Linked DNA regions of Oryctolagus cuniculus. The protein of the gene in region 1 binds, or shares a complex with, the protein of each later gene. Links are inferred from orthologs where the notes say so. Each region holds a gene or a part of one and is shown on either strand. Other genes may lie near its edges. The genes, in order: SCTR and SCT.

What was found.
Region 2: the proteins of SCTR (region 1) and SCT are in contact, whole or in part, in a cryo-EM structure (PDB 6WZG), measured with the Homo sapiens proteins. The link is inferred for Oryctolagus cuniculus from reciprocal best matches to the Homo sapiens genes SCTR and SCT. Residues at the interface, in NP_002971.2 of Homo sapiens: Arg30, Leu31, Cys32, Leu35, Asp71, Asn72, Pro117, Val125, Val127, Asn128, Asp129, Asn132, Arg135, His136, Leu139, Leu140, Leu142, Lys143, Tyr146, Tyr150, Arg188, Asn192, Lys195, Leu199, Phe200, Ser202, Asp203, Val205, Met219, Phe222; in NP_068739.1 of Homo sapiens: His28, Ser29, Asp30, Gly31, Thr32, Phe33, Thr34, Ser35, Glu36, Leu37, Ser38, Arg39, Leu40, Arg41, Glu42, Arg45, Leu46, Gln47, Arg48, Leu49, Leu50, Leu53, Val54.

The regions. Positions count from the first base shown.
Region 1 is NC_091434.1:117,358,414-117,370,344, forward strand, and holds the start of SCTR (secretin receptor), read right to left. Parts: upstream 6,782-11,931; 5' UTR 6,590-6,781; coding exon 6,521-6,589; intron 1-6,520.
Region 2 is NC_091432.1:251,174-261,192, forward strand, and holds SCT (secretin), read right to left. Parts: upstream 3,908-10,019; 5' UTR 3,878-3,907; coding exon 3,612-3,877; intron 3,515-3,611; coding exon 3,436-3,514; intron 3,323-3,435; coding exon 3,221-3,322; 3' UTR 3,183-3,220; downstream 1-3,182. Other genes in the region: CDHR5 (cadherin-related family member 5), read right to left, coding at 42-139, 221-311, 651-821, 911-1,021, 1,102-1,203, 1,315-1,407, 1,744-1,794, 1,985-2,160 and 1 more; DRD4 (D(4) dopamine receptor), read left to right, coding at 7,644-7,910, 8,673-8,785, 8,872-9,401, 9,491-9,693. UniProt on the Homo sapiens protein: Hormone involved in different processes, such as regulation of the pH of the duodenal content, food intake and water homeostasis.

The DNA.
Region 1 (11,931 bases):
TGTATAGTAATTGTCAAGAGAGCTGGCCTTGGCACAGCGCCACACACTTGTGCCCTTGTCCTCTTCCTTGTGGGACTCATCCAGACTTAGCTGAAGCCCACGGTCTCTGGCACTGGCTGGTTTTTCCGTGGAAGGGCTTGAATGGGAAAATCCACCTGCAGGTTGGCAGCCATTGCCCTTCAGCTCATCAGTAGCCACACTTCCGGTTTCGAGCCACTTTGAAAGTAACATTACTCCTCAAATGTGAGAAAGCGCCAAACAGGCACAGTCTTTTCAGTAATTTAAGGAACTATTATCTATTAAATGTTACAAAAATGGCCGGCGCCGCGGCTCACTAGGCTAATCCTCCGCCTTGCGGCGCCGGCACACCGGGTTCTAGTCCCGGTCGGGGTGCCGGATTCTGTCCCGGTTGCCCCTCTTCCAGGCCAGCCCTCTTCTGTGGCCAGGGAGTGCAGTGGAGGATGGCCCAGGTGCTTGGGCCCTGCACCCCATGGGAGACCAGGAAAAGCACCTGGCTCCTGGCTCCTGCCATCGGATCAGCGCGGTGCGCCGGCCGCAGCGCGCCGGCCGCGGCGGCCATTGGAGGGTGAACCAACGGCAAAAGGAAGACCTTTCTCTCTGTCTCTCTCTCTCTCTCTGTCCACTCTGCCTGTCAAAAAAATAAAATAAAAAAAAATAAAATAAAATAAAAAAAAAAAGAAATGTTACAAAAATGCTCAGATTCTTTGGTCAATTAAATACTCTACTTCTGAGAATCTGCACCTAAGACACCGGCCACCAGGGGGCAGCCTTGTGTCTAGAGTGCATATGGACCGAGGCTAGGTTAACTTGAGCAAGTTGAGTGGCGGATGGGGAACTGTCTGTGCAGAAGAGAGTGCAGAGTAAGTGATGTAGTTGTCGCTGTCACTTCGGGAGGAAGCTCCTGGAGATGAGGGTGGGGTGGGTAGGCACAGGGACTGGCAGTGGGAAGGGTGCAATGGACTGCTTATGTCCTCCCCTTGCCCCAAATCTACATGTTGAAGCCCGAACCTTCAGCAGGGCTGCACATGGAGGGAGGACCCATAAGGAGGGAATTTGGGCTATATGTGAGGGGAGGGCGCCGATTCCAGGGTCTTTGTAAGAATAAACACCAGAAAATGCAACCCAGCCCCCTCTCAGGAGAGGCCGGCTGGAAACAAAGCCACCTGCCAGCCAGGAAGGAGCCCCTCACCGACAAGACACTGAACCCCATTGGCCTTGATCTTGAACTTCTGACTTCCGGCCTCCAGAATTGTGAAAGTCAATTTCTACAGTGTCAGCTCCCAGGCTGGCATTTAGTGATGATGGCCTGGGACAAACAGGAAGGAAGCAGACAGAGGGGATAGTGTAGACCCAACGACCAGGGCAACATGTAGGTCAGAGGAAACTCAGCCAAGTGTCCTTGACCGTCAGCAAGTGGGAGGCAACCCCTCTGTGTTGAAAATGACAGGGGAGGGGGCGGTCAGGAATTTGAAGCACCTCAGAGAGCCTGGGTAAGGAAGCCAGGTGGGCCATGGCAGGGTGGGGTCTGGATAGGGCTCCTGGCAGCACGGTGCAGGCTGCGATCAGCCAGGAGCCCCCTTCACAGAGGCCCCTCGGCATCTGTCAGACATAGCATGCTGAGGATAGTCTCATTTCCCAAGTGCACACGACACGGAGCCTTCTGTTTGTCATGTAACCAAGCAGATAGGATCGGAGTGTTGTGCCTTTCACCCTGGGCTGCGCCAGGTCCCAGGAGCCCGAGGGCAGGTCAGCCGGGAGAACTCTCAGTGTACAGAGGGCATGAGGCGGGGAGTGAGGCTGGGGTAGCTGGAGGGACGGCTCCCCTGCCGCGTGGAGCTCTGATGCTAGATGTGAAATCTGAGCATTCCACAAGGGCTGCCGAGAAGCGAGGCTATCCTCTCCCTGGGCGCGGGAGGGAATCTGGGTTGTAACTGGGGAGAGGGTGGAGGCAGGGGAGCTCTGTGGGACCCCAAAAGGAGGTGCCAAGGCAAGACATGGACTCCTCCAAGCAACGCGGGACGCGGTATCTCCTGTTTGTGCCACTTGGCACCCTTCCTCCCCAAGTTCAACTCCAGCCCCTCAGTAAGTGTTGTGTAATGTGTTTTCCATTTACAAGGTGACCTGGTGAAATAGGCATTAATGTTAGTGTGAGGACTGGGAGAGACTTTTATGAAAGCCTTTTGTGCTTGAGAAACATAGAGCAGTGCTCTCCACTGGAGCAGCCGGAAGATGTGCCCGAGAAGAGCACTGGGACCCGAGTCCTGTGCCACCGCGTCTGGCTGAGCGGCCGCGAGCACACGGCTTCCTCCCCCGCCCCCTGAGCCTCAGCCTTCTCATCTGCACAATGGGGGAAGGGATCACCCGTGTGAAAACCAGACGAGATGGTGCTGGGGCGGACTTCGCAGAGTCTTGTGTGAAACAAGAGCTCGGTAAGGGAAGCCTTTATCATCCACCACCACCATCATCACTCACCCCAAACGTTTAGGGATGGTAAAAGCATAAAAAGAAATCCACAAATACTCCTTCAAAATGCATCCGGAGTAGCATTTCGCACACCCACAGCCCATATCAGAGCCCTGGGTTTCCGTTCCGGCTCCACTGCTGATTCTAGCTTCCCGCTAATGCTCAGCCTGGGAGGCAGTGGGTGATGGCTCAGGTAGTGGGGTCACAGGGGAGACCCGGGTGCAGTTCCAAGCTCCTGGTTTCAGCCTGGTGAGCCCCAGCTGTTGAGGGCATTTGGAGGACAAATGAACCAACAGGCAGGAGCTCCCTCCTTCCCTCTCTCGTGCCCTGCCTCCCTCCCTCTCTCTTTCTCTCTCACTCTCGCTCTCGCTCTGTGTGTGTGCATGAGTGTTGCTCTCTTTCTCTCTGCCTTTCAAATAAATAAATAATTTTTAAGGTAGCAAGTGATTTTCTCAGGCATACAAAAGAATCCCCAGGGACCTTCTTCTGAAGGGTCACCCATGACCTGTTCCCCAGCTCCCCTGGGATCCCTACTGGCCTTCCTCCAGGCTGCCCACTGCACCACCACAGGCCTGGTCAGCACCACAGATGGGGACAGGGCCACCATGCCCATAGGCTTCTATGCACCAGACCCCATAGTCAGAGGGTTGGTTTGTTTGTTGTTTGTTTAGAACCATCCACTGTGGTGGGGGTGGAGGGAGGAAGGGAAGATGGAAACGATCCAGGAACCCACCCCTCACAGAAGGCTTCCAGGCTTGCACCAGGTGCACCTGTTTCTGTCACTGGACTCCAGTCCAGTCACCACTCCCACAGCTGTGAATCCAACACAAGCCCCTACGACGAGCGCCATGACTGCACCTCCTCGGACACCCAGCAGTGGTTCTCAGCCTGGGCATAGTGGGTAAAGCCGCCGCCTGCAGGGCTGGCATCCCCTATGGGTGCCTGTTTGAGTCCCGGCTGCTCCACTTCTGATCCAGCTCTCTGCTATGGCCTGGGAAAGCAGTGGAAGATGGCCCAAGTCCTTGGGCCCCTGCACCCACATGGGAGACCCAAAGAGGCTCCTGGCTTCGGATTGGCACAGCTCTAGCCGTTGTGGCCAGTTGAGAGTGAAACAGCAGATGGAAGACCTCTCTCTCTGCCTCTCCTTCTCTATGTAACTCTGACTTTCAAATAAATAAATAAATCTTTAAAAAAGAAAGAAAGCAAGCCTGCTTGGAGAAAGAAACAGCCCATGTACCCCACTTCACTCATTGGAGTTCCAAGTTGGCCGTTTGCCAGGCGCCATGGACTAAGAAGCCTGGATTCAAGTGACCGTTTTTCCACTGATGGACACATGTATGTGCAATTTAGCAAGCAGAGGTTGCTTTCAGGATGTGGCCTTTCACCCCTTGTCATTCAACACACTCCCTGAGCTCCCCCTACCCCATGGCAGGCCCTAGGGATAAGGGATAAACAAGACAACGCTCAAGATCAAGGTGAGCGTATTGGAGGGTGTGTGGTGGGGACAGATGTGTTGGAGAATAATTAGAATAACGTTTGTAAATATTCTCCTGAGATGCACGGGGGCAGAGGCGGCATGAGGATGTGCGCTCAGGGCTCCTTACAGGAAGCCTAGGAAGCTGCCCCTTGGGGCGGGTGCCGTGGTGCAGTGGGTTAAGCCGCCGTCTGGAAGCCCGCATCCCACATCAAAGTGCCTGGTCCAGCTCTGTGCTAATGTGCACCCTGGGAGACAGCAGGTGATGGCACAAGGACTTGGGTCCCTGCCACCTACGTGGGAGACCTGGATGGAATTCCTGGCTCCCGGCTTCAGCCTGGCCCAGCCCCAGCTGTTTTAGCAGCCATGTGGGATTTAACCAGCAGATGGAAGATATTTACTGCCTCTCTCTCTCTCTTTCTCTGTCAGCTTTTATAATAAAAAATTAATACATAAAGGTTTTTAAAAGATCTATTTATTTAATTAAAAGGCAGAGTTACAGAGAAAGAAAGGGAGAGAGACACAGAGAGAGATCTTCCATCAGTGAGTTCACTCCCCCAGATGGCTGCAACAACTGGGGCTGTGTTCAGTGCCCACCTCTGGCTCCTGACCCCAGCTTCCTGCTAACATGGACCCTGGGAGGCAGCAGTGATAACTCATGTGATTAGGTTCCTGCCACTCACTAGAGAGACCCGGATTGAGTTCCTAGTTCTTGGCTTTGGCCATGGACCGGCCCAGTCATTGTGAATATTTAGGGAATGAACCAGCGGATAGGAGCTTTCTCTGTCTCTCTTTCTGCCTGCCTCTTATAAGGAAATAAATAAATAAAATTTATCCTAAACATATTTGAACCCCTTAAATTTTGAGATCAGATATTTTACCACCCAGGGTGAAACAGGAGGAAAGCAGAGCTTCAAAGGCTGGGAATACGCCAGTGAAAGTAGGTCAATTCCACACCTATTCATTGAAGCAATTTCTCTGTGAAGAAGTGTGAGACACAACCCTTGTCCTGCATAAGCCAAAGGACCACAACCTGCACACAGGGACTCCAAGGCATTAACACGTGAGTGTGTGGAAATGTCACGGAAACCCAAGAGGGCATAACGCACAGAGCCCCCGGTGGCTGGGAAATCACGGGATCTGGGTTCAAGTCCCAGCTGTGCTCCTAAACTTGCACATCTCAGGCAGGTAGCTTCCTTCTCCCCGTGAGTCTCCCTTTGCTCATTTGTAAAATGAGGCCACTGAACCAGAGCCTAAGGAAGCATCTTTGCAAGGCACACTGAAGATCTGCGTGGAGAAAAGTCTTCTCATTTCCCCCTCTGCTTATCCCTGAGAGAGCCTGAGGGTCGCCTGGAGACGTAGGCTCATCCTCAGTCCTACAGCCCAGGTGCCAGGTAAGACAACCTGAGGGTTACTGCAAGCATTTAGCAAGGAGTCGGGGTGGCTCTAAAAGAGGCAGCACTGTCTTTCTCCGCCCTAGCCGCTGAGTAACACATCTCCTGGCTGTATTTGGCTTTGAGCTGCTCCCAGGGCCCCAGGGGGGCAGCCCCCCCAAATTGCGGTGGATGCACTTGAGAGATGAGGCTTGGAGCTTGCAGGGGAGCTGGGAGTGAGCCCCAAATTGCATTTTTTCTAAGCTACTGCTGCTAGAATGTCAGGGAGCTGCTGGCTGGGCACCCCACAAGTGCCACGGCTGTCACCCACTCCCCTTAAGAATCTCACAGGAGTAGGTTCTGGAAGACAAAGAGCCAGGACCCCAGGAGCCAGAGATGGAAGGTTCAGAATTGAGTCCCCAAGCTCTTGTGGGACCCCAAGCCCTTGGGGGCCCCTTTGGAATGCCAGGGAGGAGGGGTGGTTCTAGAATCTGCCCCCCCCCCCCAGCCCTCGTCCTCAGCTCTTCCATCGTGCCCGCCTGCAAGTAGCCACTCTCTCACTAAGACAGACCTCAGAAGCCCCAGACTCTCAGGAGCTTCTGTGGGCAAGAATAGCAAACTCCCCCCACTCCGCCCCTTCTTTCCTCTCACGCCGTCGCGTCTGTGGGCCGTCTGTGGGGAGTGGCCGCTCCCAGGAGCTGCCAGACCCATCTAGGACCCGAGCACCCAGGACCCGGGAGAGGCAGCACTACAGCGGCCATCGCGAACCCTGGAGCTGTGGCCACAGCCCCCGGGAAATGTCAAGGCTTCAGGGCGGGCCCCGCGGACGGCTGTTTGTTCCCACCCTCCTTTCCTGGCACCGGGCATGTTTCTGTCTTTCCGTGCCAAGCTCTGGTTTGTCGGCTGGGAAAAGCAGCGATGAGGCTGCTAGGACATTTTGGAGGCACAGCGGCCAGCGGCGCTTGAGAGGCTTGAGAGATTTTCGTCTAGGACGCGTGGGCAGGAGGGAGCGGTGGGGCGGAGGGCGAGGGGGTCCCGGAGCCGCCTGCTGCAAGCCGTACAAGCCGCTGTTATTCCTGAAGAGCAGACCGTCTATTGTTGGGATGGGGCGGAGGCAAGGCTTGTCCCCCGCCACCTTCATCTCGCGTGGGACTCGGGGCCCCAAGCCGGCGGAGCGCGCCGTACTCACCGAGTGGGCGGCGCAGGCGAACCCCAGCAGCAACCACAGCCCCAGCGGCGGCCCCGGGCGGGGACACATGTTGCCCCGCGCGCCCCTCGACAGCCGCCGGCAGGTGCGCTCGACCAGTTTGTGAGCTCAGGGCCCCGGACAGGGTACCGGGTCCCGGGCAGCCGCAGAGCTTGGAGGAGCCATCCTGGGCGGACGCGGTGGCTGCACGCTCTGCGCTCTGGGGCCCATAGATAAGGACGTTGCGCTAGGGGCGCTCCTCCGTCCAGCGCAGACTGGCTGGGGGCAGACGGGGGGAGGAGGCAGAGGCAGGGCGCGGTGCTGGAGCTGGCGCCCGCAGGCTCTGCCCAGCCATCTACGCCGCAACCCGCCCTCTCCCCAACACCCCCACCACCCCGGAGTCATGCAACCCAGAAGCTCAAAGAGGGAGCCCAGGTCTAGACCTTCACGGCTAAGCCTGAGCCTCTGTGGCTGACTTGGGCGTGAGAGCCAGCTGTGACAGTTGTGCCATCACAGCTGTTAGTACCGCTGCGTCCCAGAGACTGTTGATGAGGTTGATACATCCCAGCAGAGGATAAGGGAGGACACTTTCAACGTCTAAGTCCAAAATCAAAGCTCGGTACACATCCCCCACAAAGTGTACATAACCACTGACTCCCTTCTAGGAATGTTAAAAAGATTATGTTATATTTGAAAAGCAGAGGGACAGTGAGGAGAGACTTTCCAACCACTGGTTCACTCCCTAAATGGCCCCAATGGCGAGAGCCAGGAGCCAGGAACTCCATCCGGTCCTCCCAGGTGAGTGGCAGGGGACCAAGCTCTTGGACCATCATCCACACCGCCTTTCAGGCACATTAGCAGGAAGCTGGATTGGGAGTGGCGTAGCGGGAACTCCTGCTGGTGCTTCGATATGGGTTGTCAGTGATTAACCGATGAAGTGCAATGTTAGCCCTCCTTCTGGGAATGTACTCCACACAAATACTCACCAAAGGGTCTGATGGAACATGTTGGGGGGAGCCTTGTGGAAACACCCTTACAGAAGCAGACAAGGTCAAGGGAACCCCGAGGCTTGCCCTTGATGGTTCCTCAGAGTGAGCAACCATTAGTCTGATCCTTTTTCTGCCTCTAAACACAGACACACACACACACACACACACACACACACCCCTGAGGTGAGCTCCCCATCGCTGATTCCCTTGGCATAAGGAACGGGCGTGAGTTCTGCACCCTCTTCTCTTCTTCCATGGACAAGCTCACCCAGCCTCCTACACAGAGCCAACGGGAGGATAGCCCTGGGCGAGGCTGGCCCTATGCTGGCCCAGTCCTACCAGTGACAGAGTAATGTTCTCTCTCAGCTGGGGTGTGCTGTTAGAAAGCCTTCTTGCCCATAAGCATAAATCACGTTCTCCAAAGCCAACTCGATCACTAACAGAAGTGGTACTCGGCCTTGTCTGTCTGAGTCTTATTTCTCAGTTGGTCCAAGATGCATTCAGGCTGGGAAGAAAAAAGAATGTCCTTCAAACCCCAACACCCTAAATGTGCATCAGTAAGCATGTGATACGGACTTGTAATGTGTATGTACAGACTTTTGCATTGCTTTCATGTTCTCTCTCTCTCCCTCTCTCAAATGTACTTATTATTTGAAAGGCAGAGTTACAGACAGAGAGAGAGAGAGAGAGAGAGAGGTCTTCCATCTGCTGGTTCACTCCCCAAATGGCTGTAATGGGCTGATCCAAAGCCAGAAGTCTGGAGCTTCTTCTGGGCCTCCCACACAGGTACAGGGGTCCAAGGATTTGGGCCATCTTCCACTGCTTTCCCAGGCTATAGCGGAGAGCCGGATCGGGAGTGGAGCAACCAGGACTCAAACCAGCACCCATATGGGATGCTGGCACTGCAGGCTTTATCCGCTAGGCTCCACACCAGCCTCACTTGCTTTTTTTTTGTTTGTTTAAGATTGATTTATTTGAGAAGCAGAGTTACAGAGAGAGAGGGAGGGAGAGACAGAGAAAAAGGTCTTCCATCCACTGGTTTACTCCTCAAATGGCTGCAATAGCCAGAGCTGTGCTGATCCGAAGCCAGGAGCTGGGAGCTTCTTCCGGGTCTCCCACATGGTAGTCTTCCCCAAGTCTTCTCCTGTGTGAGAGACCCAGAAGAAGCTCCTGGCTCCTGACTGCAGATCAGAGCCCCTCTGGCCATTGTGGCCAATTGGGGAGTGAACCAGCAGATAGAAGACCAACCTTTCTCTCTCTGCCTCCTCTCTCTGTGTAACTGTCTTTCAAATAAATAAATAAATAAATCTTTTTTAAAAAATAAAAGCTAAGCAAGGCTCAGGCCAATTGTGCAACCCATAAATGCCCCCATTGAAATGGATCCATTCCACTGAAATGTGAACGTGGAGGTGGACAGTGTCCAGGGTGCAGGGTTTGGGGGCCATTTAGCCAAGGCTCTTGGTTCCTAGCTGTAACTGCACACTTGTGCAGAAGATCTGACAAGTGCTCTTTCTCCATTGGCTATAAACAGCTACCGTGTATGAAGGATTGCATCCGCCTGGCCATATAAAATGGTGCGATTTTTATTTGTCTTTGCAGTCTTCCAGATCACCGAGGGTGCACGACGCGGTCTGGCTCGATGCTGACTCAGTAGTAGAGCTGTGCCTTTCTTTTCTTCCTTTTATGGAGAACACTCATGATGTAGCAGGAGATGCTACTTGTAATTATTTCTTCAACCACATTTTATATTTTGGGTTTTTTTAAAAATTATTTCTTTATTTTGCATTTCTCTAAAGGCAATAAACACTTGTTGGGAAACTAAGGCTCGTTGTTGACTATTTCCGGAGCACCTGCTCTGCTGCAGGTGCTGTGCTAAGATGACAGAGGCCTGGGGAAGTTACCTTCAGCAAGCTCAGGCCCATGCGGGAAGCTGTGCTGCTGAGAGTGCACCCGATTCCCAGAGGCCCAGGAAGGCGACTGGGGCTGGCATCCAAGATTTACAAGATGGCCACAGCCACGCACTTCTCAGACCTGCTGGCTGGCTGACATAGCAACCACAGTGTGTACCAAATGAAACTACAAATGGTGGGGCTGACGCTGTGGCGTAGTGGGTAAGGCCGCTGCCAGCAGTGCCGGCATCCCATATGGGCGTCAGTTCAAGTCCCGAGTGCTCCACTTCCAATCCAGCTTTCTGTTATGGCCTGGGAAAGCAGTAGAAGATGGCCCAAGTCCTTGGGCCCCTGTGCCCGTGTGGGAGACCCAGAAGAAGCTCCTGGCTCCTGGCTCCTGGCTCCTGGCCTTGAATTGGCACAGTTCCAGTCATTACAACCAACTGGGGAGTGAATCAGCAGATGGAAGACCTCTCTCTCTCTCTCTCTCTCCCTCTCTCTCTCTCTCTCTCTCTCCTTCTCTCTCTGTGAAACTCTGACTTTCAAATAAATAAATAAATCTTTAAAAACAAAAACATGAAGCTACAGATGGCGATACATTCTCTGAGAGCATATTGTACGGGACCAGACAGAGCAGGTGGAGTCATTAAATCTGACTCATGTTAGTCACCGTTCTGGTGGGTCAGATGTATCTGAGTGAGAGCACTTTTATAGGAGTCAATGTGGTAGGTTTCTGTTGGTTTTCGCCCATCTAACCTCCATTCTCTTTCCTTCTGATAGAAGAATCTCTCAGACCCTCACTCACAGTGTGGCTGGCAGTTGGGGAGACTTTTCACCAAGAGCAGCCCAGGAGGGAGCACAAGAGCTGGACCTGGGCAAAGAGATTCAGCCCATCTACCCTCCTCCTGCCTGCAGCTCACCACACAGCCATTAATCGGGGATGGGCATGTGACTGGATGTGCCACAGACAAAGCCTGTGTCGGCAGTAGGATCAAGCTAACTGCAAGGTACAGCCTGTGGCACAATATGAGGAGGTGCTGGTGAGAATGAAGCCAGTCTGGGTGGGGAAGATCCAAGAGCTGGAGAAACCAGTCCCGGAGAGCAGCATCTGGCTCCTAGACGCAGATGTTCCTGAAGCCCCTCCCTCACCCCCGCCCCTGCCAGCTCTGCCTCTCCGAATGTGGGGTGTGTGTGAGTCAGTTTCCATCACTTCTAACGGGAGATTCCCTGACTTATACTTAAGGAAGCCTTCCCCAGGCTTTTGAGCCAGAGGGACTGGTTGGGGGTGGGATGGGGGGAGTGGAGCAAAAAGAACAGTGGAGAAAGAGGGAGTAATTGGCTACCCCTGGGTATCTGGGTCTCAGGTCTTCACCAAGTGACTGTGTAAGTGCAAGGCTCTTGCTCTGCCCCTTTGAGGACTGAATAAACCAAACAAAGAGAGCTGTCCCCTCCTGAATGGCAGCTTTCCTAGGAGCCCAGCTAATGTATTATTGATGAGCCATAAAGAATGGGGCAAGCGTGATTTCCTATTCAGTCCTCAAGTACAAAGGCATAATGCTGACATTTTAATGAGGTTTTTATGGCCCAGGCTCACTGTTTACAATCTGGAAATGTAGGCTGGCTTTCTCAGGAAAGCCGTATTTCCTTTACTTTTTCTATTTTCCTCTTCCATCTGTCAGCGTCCTTTTGAATATTTATATGAAATATTGTAGTTAACACAGACCAAATAAAAGAAAGCAAATAAAGCCAGATCGGAAAGACAATGTTGCTAGCATGCCCAAGGTCTTCTCCTTGCTGGGTGGAGCAAAGAAAGTCAAGTGCACCCCCCCCCCAGACCCTTCCAGAGTCTGGGAAGGCAATGCACAACAGACAAACCCGGGGTTCAAACCCTGCCTGATTCTCCAATTAGCCATGTGAAACACGGGGAAAGTCATTTGAGCCCTCCAAGCCTCAGTCTCCTCCACATAATTGGAAAAAGCATACTCATCTTTCTGCATTGCCGTTTGGTTGAACATAATTCAATGAGGTGGCCTGGTGATGTAAGCCAGCACCCCACATCAGAGCGCCGGTTTGAATCCTGGCTGCTCCACTTTTGATCCAGCTCTCTACTAATGCACCTGGGAAGGCAGTGGATGACGGTCCAAGTACTTGGGCTCCTGCTCCCCACGTGGGAGACCTAGATGGAGTCTTTTGCTCCTCGTGTCAGCCTAAGCCACTCTCAGCCATTGCAGCCATTTGGCCAGCAAACCAGCTCCCTGCTACTGCACCTGGGAAGGCAGGAGAAGACGGCCCAAGTACTTGAGCCCCTGCCACCCATGTGGGAGACCAAGATGGAGTTCCTGGCTCTTGGCTTCAGCTTTGCCCAGACCTGATCTTTGAAACCATTTGGGGAGTGAATGAGCAGATGGAAGATTCTCTCTCTCTCTCTCCCTCTCCCTCTCCCTCTTCCTCTCCCTCGCCCTCTCCCTCTCCCTCCCTCCATGTCAATCTGCCCTTCAAATAAATAAATGATCTTTAAGAAAACAAAAAAGAAATA
Region 2 (10,019 bases), on another chromosome or scaffold:
GAGGGCCGGGGGACCCCACCCCACACAATGCCGGCACCCACCTTCACCAGCAGGACGAAGGTCGTGGGGCTGGGGATGCTGCTGGCCATGGTGAGGTGGCCCGAGTTGGCGTCGATGGCGAACACGCCGCCCTGGTTTCCTGGGAGGGTGAGCAGGTGGTCAGCCTCACATCCTGGCTGGGCCCAGGTGGGGATGGGGCTGGGGACAGGGCCTCACTCACCCCCCAGCAGGCTGTAGATGATGGGCTGGCCAATGGCCGAGTCTCCGTCCTCAGCGTAGATGGGTCCAGGGCGTAGGGTGAGGGGACCTGGCTGTGGGGACGGCCAGGGGAGGGGACACTGTGGGACGGGTGTGGTGGCCAGCCGGGGCCGCGGCGGGGCCCAGTTGGCCAATGGCCACATGTCCCTGCCAGGCCCGAGTCTCAGGGACATCTGAATGCTGGGTCAGCAGGAATGTTCACAGGGAAGTTGGACTCCTGCCTCCCGTGCACTGCCCAGCCAGGGCCCACTGCCCCCTGGTGGCTGGGGAGGGAGTTGCTCGGCAGTGCCCAACAGGGCCCAGGGCCCAGTGCCCACGGCTGGATGTCACCAAAGCTGGGAGGACCCAAGCCCGCCCTGACCCCGCCCGGGCCGGCGGCAGCACCCCGTTACCAGCGTGTGCCCCGTGGGGACTGCCCCCTGGTACTGGGCCTGGATGCAGACGTGGCCATCTGAGTAGCTGCAGGGCAGGAACCAGGGTGGCCGCAGGTCAGCGGGCAGCACCTTCAGGATCAGGGTGGCCGTGGCCGTGTGGCTGGGCAGCTCGTTCTCCTGCTGGGTGTCCTGCAGTAGCCACTGGTCAGGCGGGCAGCAGCCTCACTGGGGCCCCAGTGTCCAGTGTCCAGCACCCGGGGCTGGTGGGGCCTGCTCACCCGCACCAGCAGCCGGAAGGTCATTTCTGACCACCTGTCGAAGTCCAGGGTCCGGTCCAGCCTTAGGGCAGGGTGGTTTGCGCCCGCCAGGGAGAAGAAGTGCCCAGCACCCTGAAGAGAGGGGGACGTGACCTGAGAGGCTGGGGGGTGGGCACAGGCTGGTGTCTGCCGGGGGCCGGGGCAGCACGGACCGGGGTCACTTCCTGGAGTGTGTAGAACAAGGTGTCGCTCTCGTCGAGGTCCTTGGCTTCCAGTTCTGTCTCGGGGATGACTGTGGAGTTCACTTTCGTATCCTGGGCATGGACAGGGGTGGGCTGGGGTGGGCCACACTGGAGACCCCAGGGGCAAGCCCCTGGCCCAGCCCCCAGCCCCCAGGGCCGGCCCCGAGGCGCCACCGGGCTAACCTCCTCCACACCCTTCTGCAGGGTGTCGAAGGGGAACGTGGGGAGGTTGTCGTTGACGTCCAGCACGGTCACGAACACTCGCAGCCTCGTCACCTGCAGGGCGTGGCCGGCGTCTCCCTGAGGGTCCCCGGGGTGCCCAGCCCGCTCCCCCCTTCCCTCACTCTTGGGGCCAGGGCGCTGTGAACCCCTGTGGGGTCCCGGCCCTGGGTGTGGCCGGCATCCCAGCCGCCACCGAGGAGGGGGCTGAGGTGGGCCGGGGTAAAGGGAGCAAGCAGGCCAGTCGGAAGTTCCAGACATATTGGTGGCTGAGGCCAGGGTATGGGTGCCGGGGCGCCGGGCCGCGGGTCTCGGGTGTGGCCGGGGAAGCGTGCCCTGGGTGAGCTCATCCCTGCACTCTAGCGTGGGAGGGGCTGGGAGGGGCGGACTCACCACCGTGGTCCCTCTCCTGCACTCCAGGTCGGCCTCCAGGAAGGTCACGGCCTGCGGAGGCAGGGGGACGTGGGGAGGCGCCTGCCCAGTGCCCAGCACACGGTCCCCGCTGCACAGGCCGGCCGCCCAGGCAGGAGGATGGCTGCCGGCCACAGCCCCCAAGCCCGGGGCCGACGCCAGATCAGCCACTGCCTGGCAGAACTGTGCCCGGGAGGGGATGGGGGGGGAGGGCCGCTCCCACCTCGTAGTCTGGACTCGCGCTGAGAAACAGCTGAGTCCCCTGGATCCGGAATGAGGCGGCGGTGGTCGAGGGGCCGAGGGCCACCTGCAGGCCATCGGGGACGTAGATGTCAACCAGGGGCTTCGCCACGTCCGAGTTCTCCTTCACCTCGAAGAGGGTCTGGTTGATGGAGCAGACTGCAGCGGACAGCACGGGTCAGCACCCAGCCCCGCCCCCACCCCGCCCCCGCCCCCGCCCCTGCCCGGCACCTGCCCTGTGTCTGCGCCTCAGCCCCCCAGGGCTGGCCCGGCAGCCCCAGGAGCAGCAGCAGCAGGGGAGGCCACCGCAGGGGCCAGGTCCCCGTCCTGGTGGCTGTCATCCGGCCGGCTGGCGTCTGGCGTCTGTCCGTCCCCCTGCCGTCCTGGACTGCTGCAGTTCCTGCCTCGCACGACCTTTGCCCCTGGCAGGCACCGCCCTGCTTTATGGCTTCACGGCTGGCCTCTGCCAGGGGGGATCCCGCCGGCCGGCTGGGCACGGGCTGGCCGCAGCCAGGAGGGGGACGCCAGGTGGTCACTTGCCCCCCCACTCCACCCCAGGGTCACCTGGGGCTCAACCCACAGACGCCAAAGCACGAGGTGTGAGCTGCTGGGGCTACGGCCTGGGGCACCGTGATGGGGGCTGCAAGGCCCACGGCAAGGCGGGGGTCCAGGGTTCCCTTCCAGGCCCACCTCCCCTCCCTCGCCGTCTAAATCCCACAGGAACCGACTGTGTCCCAGGCACCCCTGCAGGGCTCTGAGGGTCCTGATCTCTTCCTGGGACCCCCACACCTCCAGCGGCCAGGGAGAGGCCAGGAAGGAGGGAGGAGCTCAGGGACGGGGTCCATCCCTGGCCTGCGGTGGGACCCCGCCCAGCATGGACGCCATGGCCAGCCCGGCAGTCACGGGGTGCTGCTCCCGGAATCCTGGGCCACCACCCCGTCTCCCCCCACCCCTCTTCTCCCCCACATCCCTACTGCAAGGCCCGGGGAGGGGCACACCCTGGGGAGTTCAGAGGATGGACAGCAGGTGGCCCAGTGGCTCCCAGGGATAAAGGGCAGCTGGGCGTGGTCCGAGCTCTGGGGCCCTGCTCCCACACGGCAGCCACGGATCAGGGGTCCCAGTTCCTCCTTTATTAGTGCGAGGACAACCCCCCCCCGCCTGCCCCCTGCAGGACCCCCTCCTTCTCCGTGGTCAACATCAGGGCATCCAAGGCGCTGCTTCAGTCTCGGTGCTGGCCAGCTCCAAAACCAAGACCCCAGCCCCGGGCCCAGGAGGCAGCAGGGTTGACCAGGCGGGGCCCAGGGGTGGCCCGAGGAGCCTCCTGCGGAGACAGGCACCTTGGGGGCTGCGGCCTGGGAGCTGGAGACTCCCCGTAACCCCACCCCCACACACAGGGTCCCAGGGGACAGGAGCTGGCAGGAGCAGGGCGCTCACCAGGCCTGCAGGTGGGCAGTGGGACCACTTCGGGCAGGGCCTGGACCAGGAGGCTGGGCCGGGCTTGGAGTCCTGCTGGCTGCACAGACACACACAACCAGTCAGAGCGCAGGTGGCCGGCCGTCCCAGGCCGGGTCTCCCCCGCGCCGGTCGCGCCCTCACCTGCCCACGCTCACCTGCGCTTGCCCAGGAGGCCCTGCAGCAGGCGCTGTAGGCGCGCGCGGTCCCGCAAGCGGCTGAGCTCGCTAGTCAGGGTCCCGTCCGAGTGGCGCGGGGCCCGGGGCGGGGGACGGCGCGCGCGGCCGGGGGTAGGGGCGCCGCGCAGCCTGGGGAGCTGGCCCAGCGCGGGCGCGGGCGCGGGCGCGGGCGCGGGCGCGGGCGCGGCGGGGCCCGCGAGCGGCAGCAGGAGCAGCAGCAGCAGCAGCAGGGGCCGGGGGGCCATGGTGGGCGCGGGCAGGCCTAATTCCCGGCGCGCCCGCAGCCCCGGCGCTTTATAGCGGCGCCCGGACCGGGGGCGCCCAGCGCCGCCCCGGCTCCACGCGGCCCGGCCGCGCCCACCGGTCTCCGCAGGCCGGGGCCGCCCCCCCAGCTGTCGCACGCGCCGGCGCCCGCCCCCTGCGCCACGGCGGCGCCCCTTGTCCGGGAGGGCGAGCCTTCCCCGGCTCAGGTGCTTGGACCCTGCCGCGCACGGGGGACACCCGGATGGAGCCCTGGCTTCGGCCTGGCCAGCCCTGGTTTTGCGGGTATTCGGGCAGTGAACCGGGAGATGGAGGTTCGCTCTCTCTCCCCTCTCCCTCCTCTGTGTCTCCCCGCCTGTCAAATAAACAAAAGAAATGCGTGATACAATTTGAAACGTCAACCTTTTTTTAATTTAAGATACTTATTAACAACAAGCACACACTTCTCTGGGGTACACTGTGGTTTATTTTCCTCTGTGCCCACAGAAGTATTTTTAAATTGGAGATTTGACACTTTTTTAGATTTTGCCGAATTCACTGCATATGCGGCCGTGCGGACCTGCCTCCGGGTCAGCGTCCAGGACAAGGGGGCAGGGCCTCGGTGCCATCCGCGTGGCAGGTGTCCGGGCCGGCTCCCCCTCGGCGGGGAGGGACTCCCCCCCCCCCAGGTGCTCACCGCGCCCCGCGCCGCTGCGCCGACGTCACCGCGCCTGGCGCCGGGTCGCTGCCCTGTCCTCGCTCTTGGGGACTTATTTGGCGCGGATCACTCAGATGTGTTGTTTTGGGCCGGCGCTGTGGCACAGCCGGTAAAGCCTCCCTGTGCAGGGCCGGCATCCCATGTGGGCGCCGGTTCGAGTCCCGGCTGCCCCACTTCCTATCCAGCTCTCTGCTGTGTCCTGGGAAAGCAGTGGGGGCCGGCTCAGGTGGAGACCTGGAGGAACCTCCTGGCCTCAGCCTGGGCCAGCCCAGCCCTGTTTCCCCATCTGGGGAGTGAACCAGCAGGTGGAAGACTCTCTTTCTCTACAACTCTGTCTTTCAAATAAACAAACAAATATTTAAATAAAAAGAAAATATTTATTAAAAAAGAGCTGAGTGGAGGGTCGACACCTCCACTTGGCTAATCCTCTGCCTGTGGTGCAGGCACCCCGGGTTCTAGTCCCGGTTGGGGTGCTGGATTCTGTCCCGGTTGCCCCTCTTCCAGGCCAGCTCTCTGCTGTGGCCCGGGAGTGCAGTGGAGGATGGCCCAAGTGCTTGGGCCCTGCACCCCATGGGAGACCAGGAGAAGCACCTGGTTCCTGGCTTCGGATCGGCACAGCGCCGGCCGTGGCAGCCATTAGGGGAGTGAACCAACGGAGGGAAGACCTTTCTGTCTCTCTCTCTCTCACTGTCTAACTCTGCCTGTCCAAAAAAAAAAAAAAAAAAAAAAAAAAAAAAGAGAGAGAGAGAGAGCGCGCGAGAGAGCTGAGTGGAGTCAAAACCAATAAGCCCTTGACTATAATGTAAAATTTTTTTAAAGATTTTTATTTATTTATTTTGACAGGCAAGTTAGACAGTGAGAGAGAGAGAGAAAGTTCTTCCTTCCATTGGTTCACCCCCCAAATGGCTGCCACGGCCGGCACTGCACCGATCCAAAGCCGGGAGCCAGGTGTTTCTCCTGCTCTTCCATATGGGTGCAGGGCCCAAGCACTTGGGCCATCCTCCACTGCCTTCCCGGACAACAGCAGAGAGCTGGCCTGGAAGAGGAGCAACTGGGACTAGAACCCAGTGCCCACATGGGATGCCGGCGCCGCAGGCAGAGGATTAACCAAGTGAGCCACGGCGCCGGCCCCTATAATGTAAATTTAAATTGTTATTTGAACAAATAATGCACGTGCTATGGCTTAACAACTGCTAACCCAATACTGAGTGTTAAAGGCTGAAAAAATTTTCTTAAAGTTAACAAAAAAAAAAAAAAAAAAAAAAAGGAGTGGAGCTGGAACTCCCGCCCAGGCGCTCAGGTCCAGGTCACGGCTTCCAAATGGCTGTGCCAACTGCCCACTCCGGTGACCGGGCATCCCAGCGACCTCTGCAAAAGTGGCCCCGCAGCAGCTGTACAACCATTGGCAGGGTCAGGCCCCCTGCACCTGCTGCCCCTCCCAGAGGCCACACCCTTCCCAGCCTGGGACAGCTCTGAGCCACGCCTCCAACCTCCAAGACTAACTTCTGGGCACCCTTCTTCCAGGATGGTCCACTCCCTTTTAAAATTGATTGACTGATGGACAGGCAGGGCTCCCATCCTCCGATCCACCTCCGCCCCCAGCAGCCAGGACTGGGCTGGGACCCAGTCACTCCAGTGGTCACTGCTGCCTCCCAGGGTGCACCTTAGCAGGAAGCTGGGCTCAGGAACCCAGGCAGTCTCACACGGGCTGTGGGTGTCCCGACCGGCATGGTAACCACGAAGCCCAACGCCCGCCCACAGTGACGTCAGGAAACTTGCGCTGCTTCGGCTGCAGGTCCGGCAGAATCCACGAGTGTGCGTGCTGGCACCAGCCAAGGAGCTCCAAGTGCGCTGAGAGACACAGCGGCCGGCGTCCCACGCGGCCACCAACTGGAGTCCCGGCTGCTCCTCTTCCCTTCCAGCTCCCTGCTAATGCACCTGGGAAGCAGTGGAAGACGGCCCAGCTGCTTGGGCCCCTGCACCCACGTGGGAGACCCGGAGGAGGCTCCTGGCTCAGCCCCGGCCATTGCGGACGTTTGTGGAGTGAACAGTGGACGGAACATTCTCTCTCTCTCTCTCTTTGGAACTACAAATTTCAAATAAGAAAGTAAATCTTGAAAATAATAATAATAAAACAGCAGTGGTGGACTCTGGGTGGGTGGAGGAGGGGGCTCCACACAGACCTGAGCAGGCCCGGCCCCTCCCTTTGTACAGCACCAGCTCCGCTCCTGCACCGGACCACAGGGAAGACAGGGCTCCCGCCTGCGGAGCTGCACGGGGTGGGAGTGGGGGCTCGCGGCCAGCGCCTGCGGTCCCGGCCCCGCAGACCCCGCGTGGCTCCGGCCCTCCGAGCGCCGTCCAGGGTCTATGTCTGCCCCTGGTTCTCTGTAACGCGCGCCCGGTCGTGCACCCGGTGTGAGAACAGGGACCGCCCTGTGCAGAGAACGGCTCCCATGTCAGCCGCACCCGGGTTGAGTCCCTGCTGAGGATCCTCATCCGCGTGCCATCTGCTGTCTTCTCAGGGGTCCGGGACCCTCCCCGGGCGGGAGCGCTCCCGCGTTTCCTTCACGGCTCCTCGGGACGGGCGGGGGTCCGGTGCGGCTGGCGAGGCGACCTGGGCGACGCAGCACCAGCCCGGGCCAGAGGCGGCGGCCCCGACAGGGGGAGACCGAGGAGGTCGGCCAGGCGAGCCGCGGGGCGCTCCGGGGCGGGAAGCGGACCAGGTGTGGGCAGCGTCCGCGGAGTCGTTCTGCGTTGCGCGGGTGTCTGGAGGGCAGCGTGCGGGAAGGGCCTGCGGGCCTCCCGGACATGCGGACGGAGGCCGAGCCGGTGCCCGGTTTCCCCGGGCGCTGCCGCCGAATCCCCGTCCCTCTGTGCGGCGGCGCACGGAGCGCGGGCCCCAAGCCGCAGGGGCCCCGAGCCGGGGCTGGGCTGGGCCGGGCGGGGGCGGGACTAGGGCCGGGCGGGGCGAGCCCGGGGCGGGACTCCTGGAGGCCGCGCGGGGCGCTGACCGCGGTGCTGGCGCCCGCCGGGGCGCGCGGGGCCAGCGCGCCATGGGGAACCGCAGCGCCGCGGACGCGGGCGGGCTGGCGGCCGGGCGCGCGCCGGGGGCGGCTGCGGGGCTAGGGGCCGGGGGCGCGGCGGCGCTGGCGGGCGGCGTGCTGCTCATCGGCGCGGTGCTGGCGGGGAACTCGCTGGTGTGCGCGAGCGTGGCGGCCGAGCGCGCCCTGCAGACGCCCACCAACTACTTCATCGTGAGCCTGGCGGCCGCCGACCTGCTGCTCGCCCTGCTGGTGCTGCCGCTCTTCGTCTACTCCGAGGTGAGCCCGCGCCCCCGCGGGCGCCCGGGACCCTGCCGTCTGCGCTCCCCGCCCAGCGCTCCCCTCTCTCCCGTCTCGGGGTCCGCGACCCAAGAGGTCCCAGGGCCGGGCGGGGGGGAATGCCCCAGGGTCCCCCGGGCACGGACACACTCCCATCAGGCCCGCGCCAGGTCACGCGGGCGCACCGTGCACGCAGGGAGGCCTCCAGCCTAGGCACCCACGGGTCAGGAGCGGGTGGACGGAGGGGAGACCCGGGCCGGACCGCGGAGCTCGAGCGAGGGTCCCCGCCCCAGGCCAGTGCTGGCCCGGGAGGGGTCCACGTTGGTGTCAACGCTTCTGCTCTGAGTGTGGCCGGAGAAAAGCGGCTTAGGGTTGGGGACGCGTTGTCCTGGGCTGCGGGGGAGGGGCCATTGTGCAGCGCCTGACAGCGCGACCTCCGCCGCTCCCGGCCCCACGGACGTCACCGTGACGCCGCCTAAGCCGCTCAGCCTCTCCGGGCAGCGGGATTTACAGGGGGCGCCGTCCGCTCCCAGCCCCTGGGGACCGACGCCCCCACCCCGGCCCCGGCGGCCGCCCTCCTGCCGTCTTCACACTTTTTACCAGGGTTCATCCCAGGACGGCTGCGATGGGGACGCTCGGCTCTCCCCGGGGCAGGCTCCGGGGCCGGCGGGGTCCCTGCCGACCGGAGCCCAGACCCACCCTGAGACCGGTGCCGTGCCTCGGCCCCGTGCCCGGGTCACAACGTGTGACCGCTGTGCCCAGGTGCAGGGCGGCGTGTGGCTGCTGAGCCCCCGCCTGTGCGACGCGCTTATGGCCATGGACGTCATGCTGTGCACCGCCTCCATCTTCAACCTGTGCGCCATCAGCGTGGACAGGTGGGCCGCGTGCGCGCCCCGCCATATGCGCTTACTCGGTCCCGGGCCCCCCGCCGCACGCGCTCACGCGCTCCCGGGCCCCGCAGGTTCGTGGCCGTGGCGGTGCCGCTGCACTACAACCGCCAGGGCGGGGGCCGACGCCCGCTGCTGCTCATCGGCGCCACGTGGCTGCTGTCGGCCGCGGTGGCCGCGCCGGTGCTGTGCGGCCTGAACGATGTGAGCGGCCGCGACCCCGCCGTGTGCCGCCTGGAGGACAGCGACTACGTGGTCTACTCGTCCGTGTGCTCCTTCTTCCTGCCCTGCCCGCTCATGCTGCTGCTGTACTGGGCCACGTTCCGCGGCCTGCGGCGCTGGGAGGAGGCCCGGCGCGCCAAGCTGCAGGGCCGCGAGCCCCGCAGGCCCAGCGGCCCTGGCCCGCCCGCGCCCGGCCTCCCCGAGCGCCCGGCCTGCGCGTCCCCGGACTGCGCGTCCCCGGATGCCGCCCCCGCCGCCGCCCCCGAGCCGCCGCCCCCGCTGCCGCCGCCGCCGCCGCCCGAGCCGCAGGCGCGCAAGAGGAGGCGCGCCAAGATCCCGGGCCGCGAGCGCAAGGCCATGCGGGTCCTGCCGGTGGTCGTCGGTGCGTTCCTGCACGCGGGCGGCGGTCCCGGAGGGGCGGGAGGGCTGGGCAGCGAGCGCCGCTCAGCGCACGGCTCTGGGCGCCCGCAGGGGCCTTCCTCGTGTGCTGGACGCCCTTCTTCGTGGTGCACATCACGCGCGCGCTGTGTCCGGCCTGCGCCGTGCCCCCGCGGCTGGTCAGCGCCGTCACCTGGCTGGGCTACGTCAACAGCGCGCTCAACCCGCTCATCTACACCGTCTTCAACGCCGAGTTCCGCCGCGTCTTCCGCAGGGCCCTGCGCCAGTGCCGCTGAGGGCCTCGCCCGCCGGCCCCCCCAGGCAGAGCATCTGCCCCCAGGGCCTGCAGGGAGGGGACCTTTGCTGGCCCTGGGGTTGGGGTGGAGGAGGGTCCCAGGGTGGGAAGACCCCGCCCACAAGGGGGCTGGTGCTGTTCTCGTCGTTGCTCCCCAGGTCCGCGTCGCGGCTGCCCCACTTCCACTCCAGCTTCCTGCTGATGCGCCTGCCCAGGGAAGGCAGTGGAGGACGGCCGAGTGCTGGGCCCCTGCACCCGCGTGGAGACCCGGAAGCAGCTCCTGGCTCCTGGCTTCAGCCTGGCCCAGCTCCCGCTGCAGCGGCCATC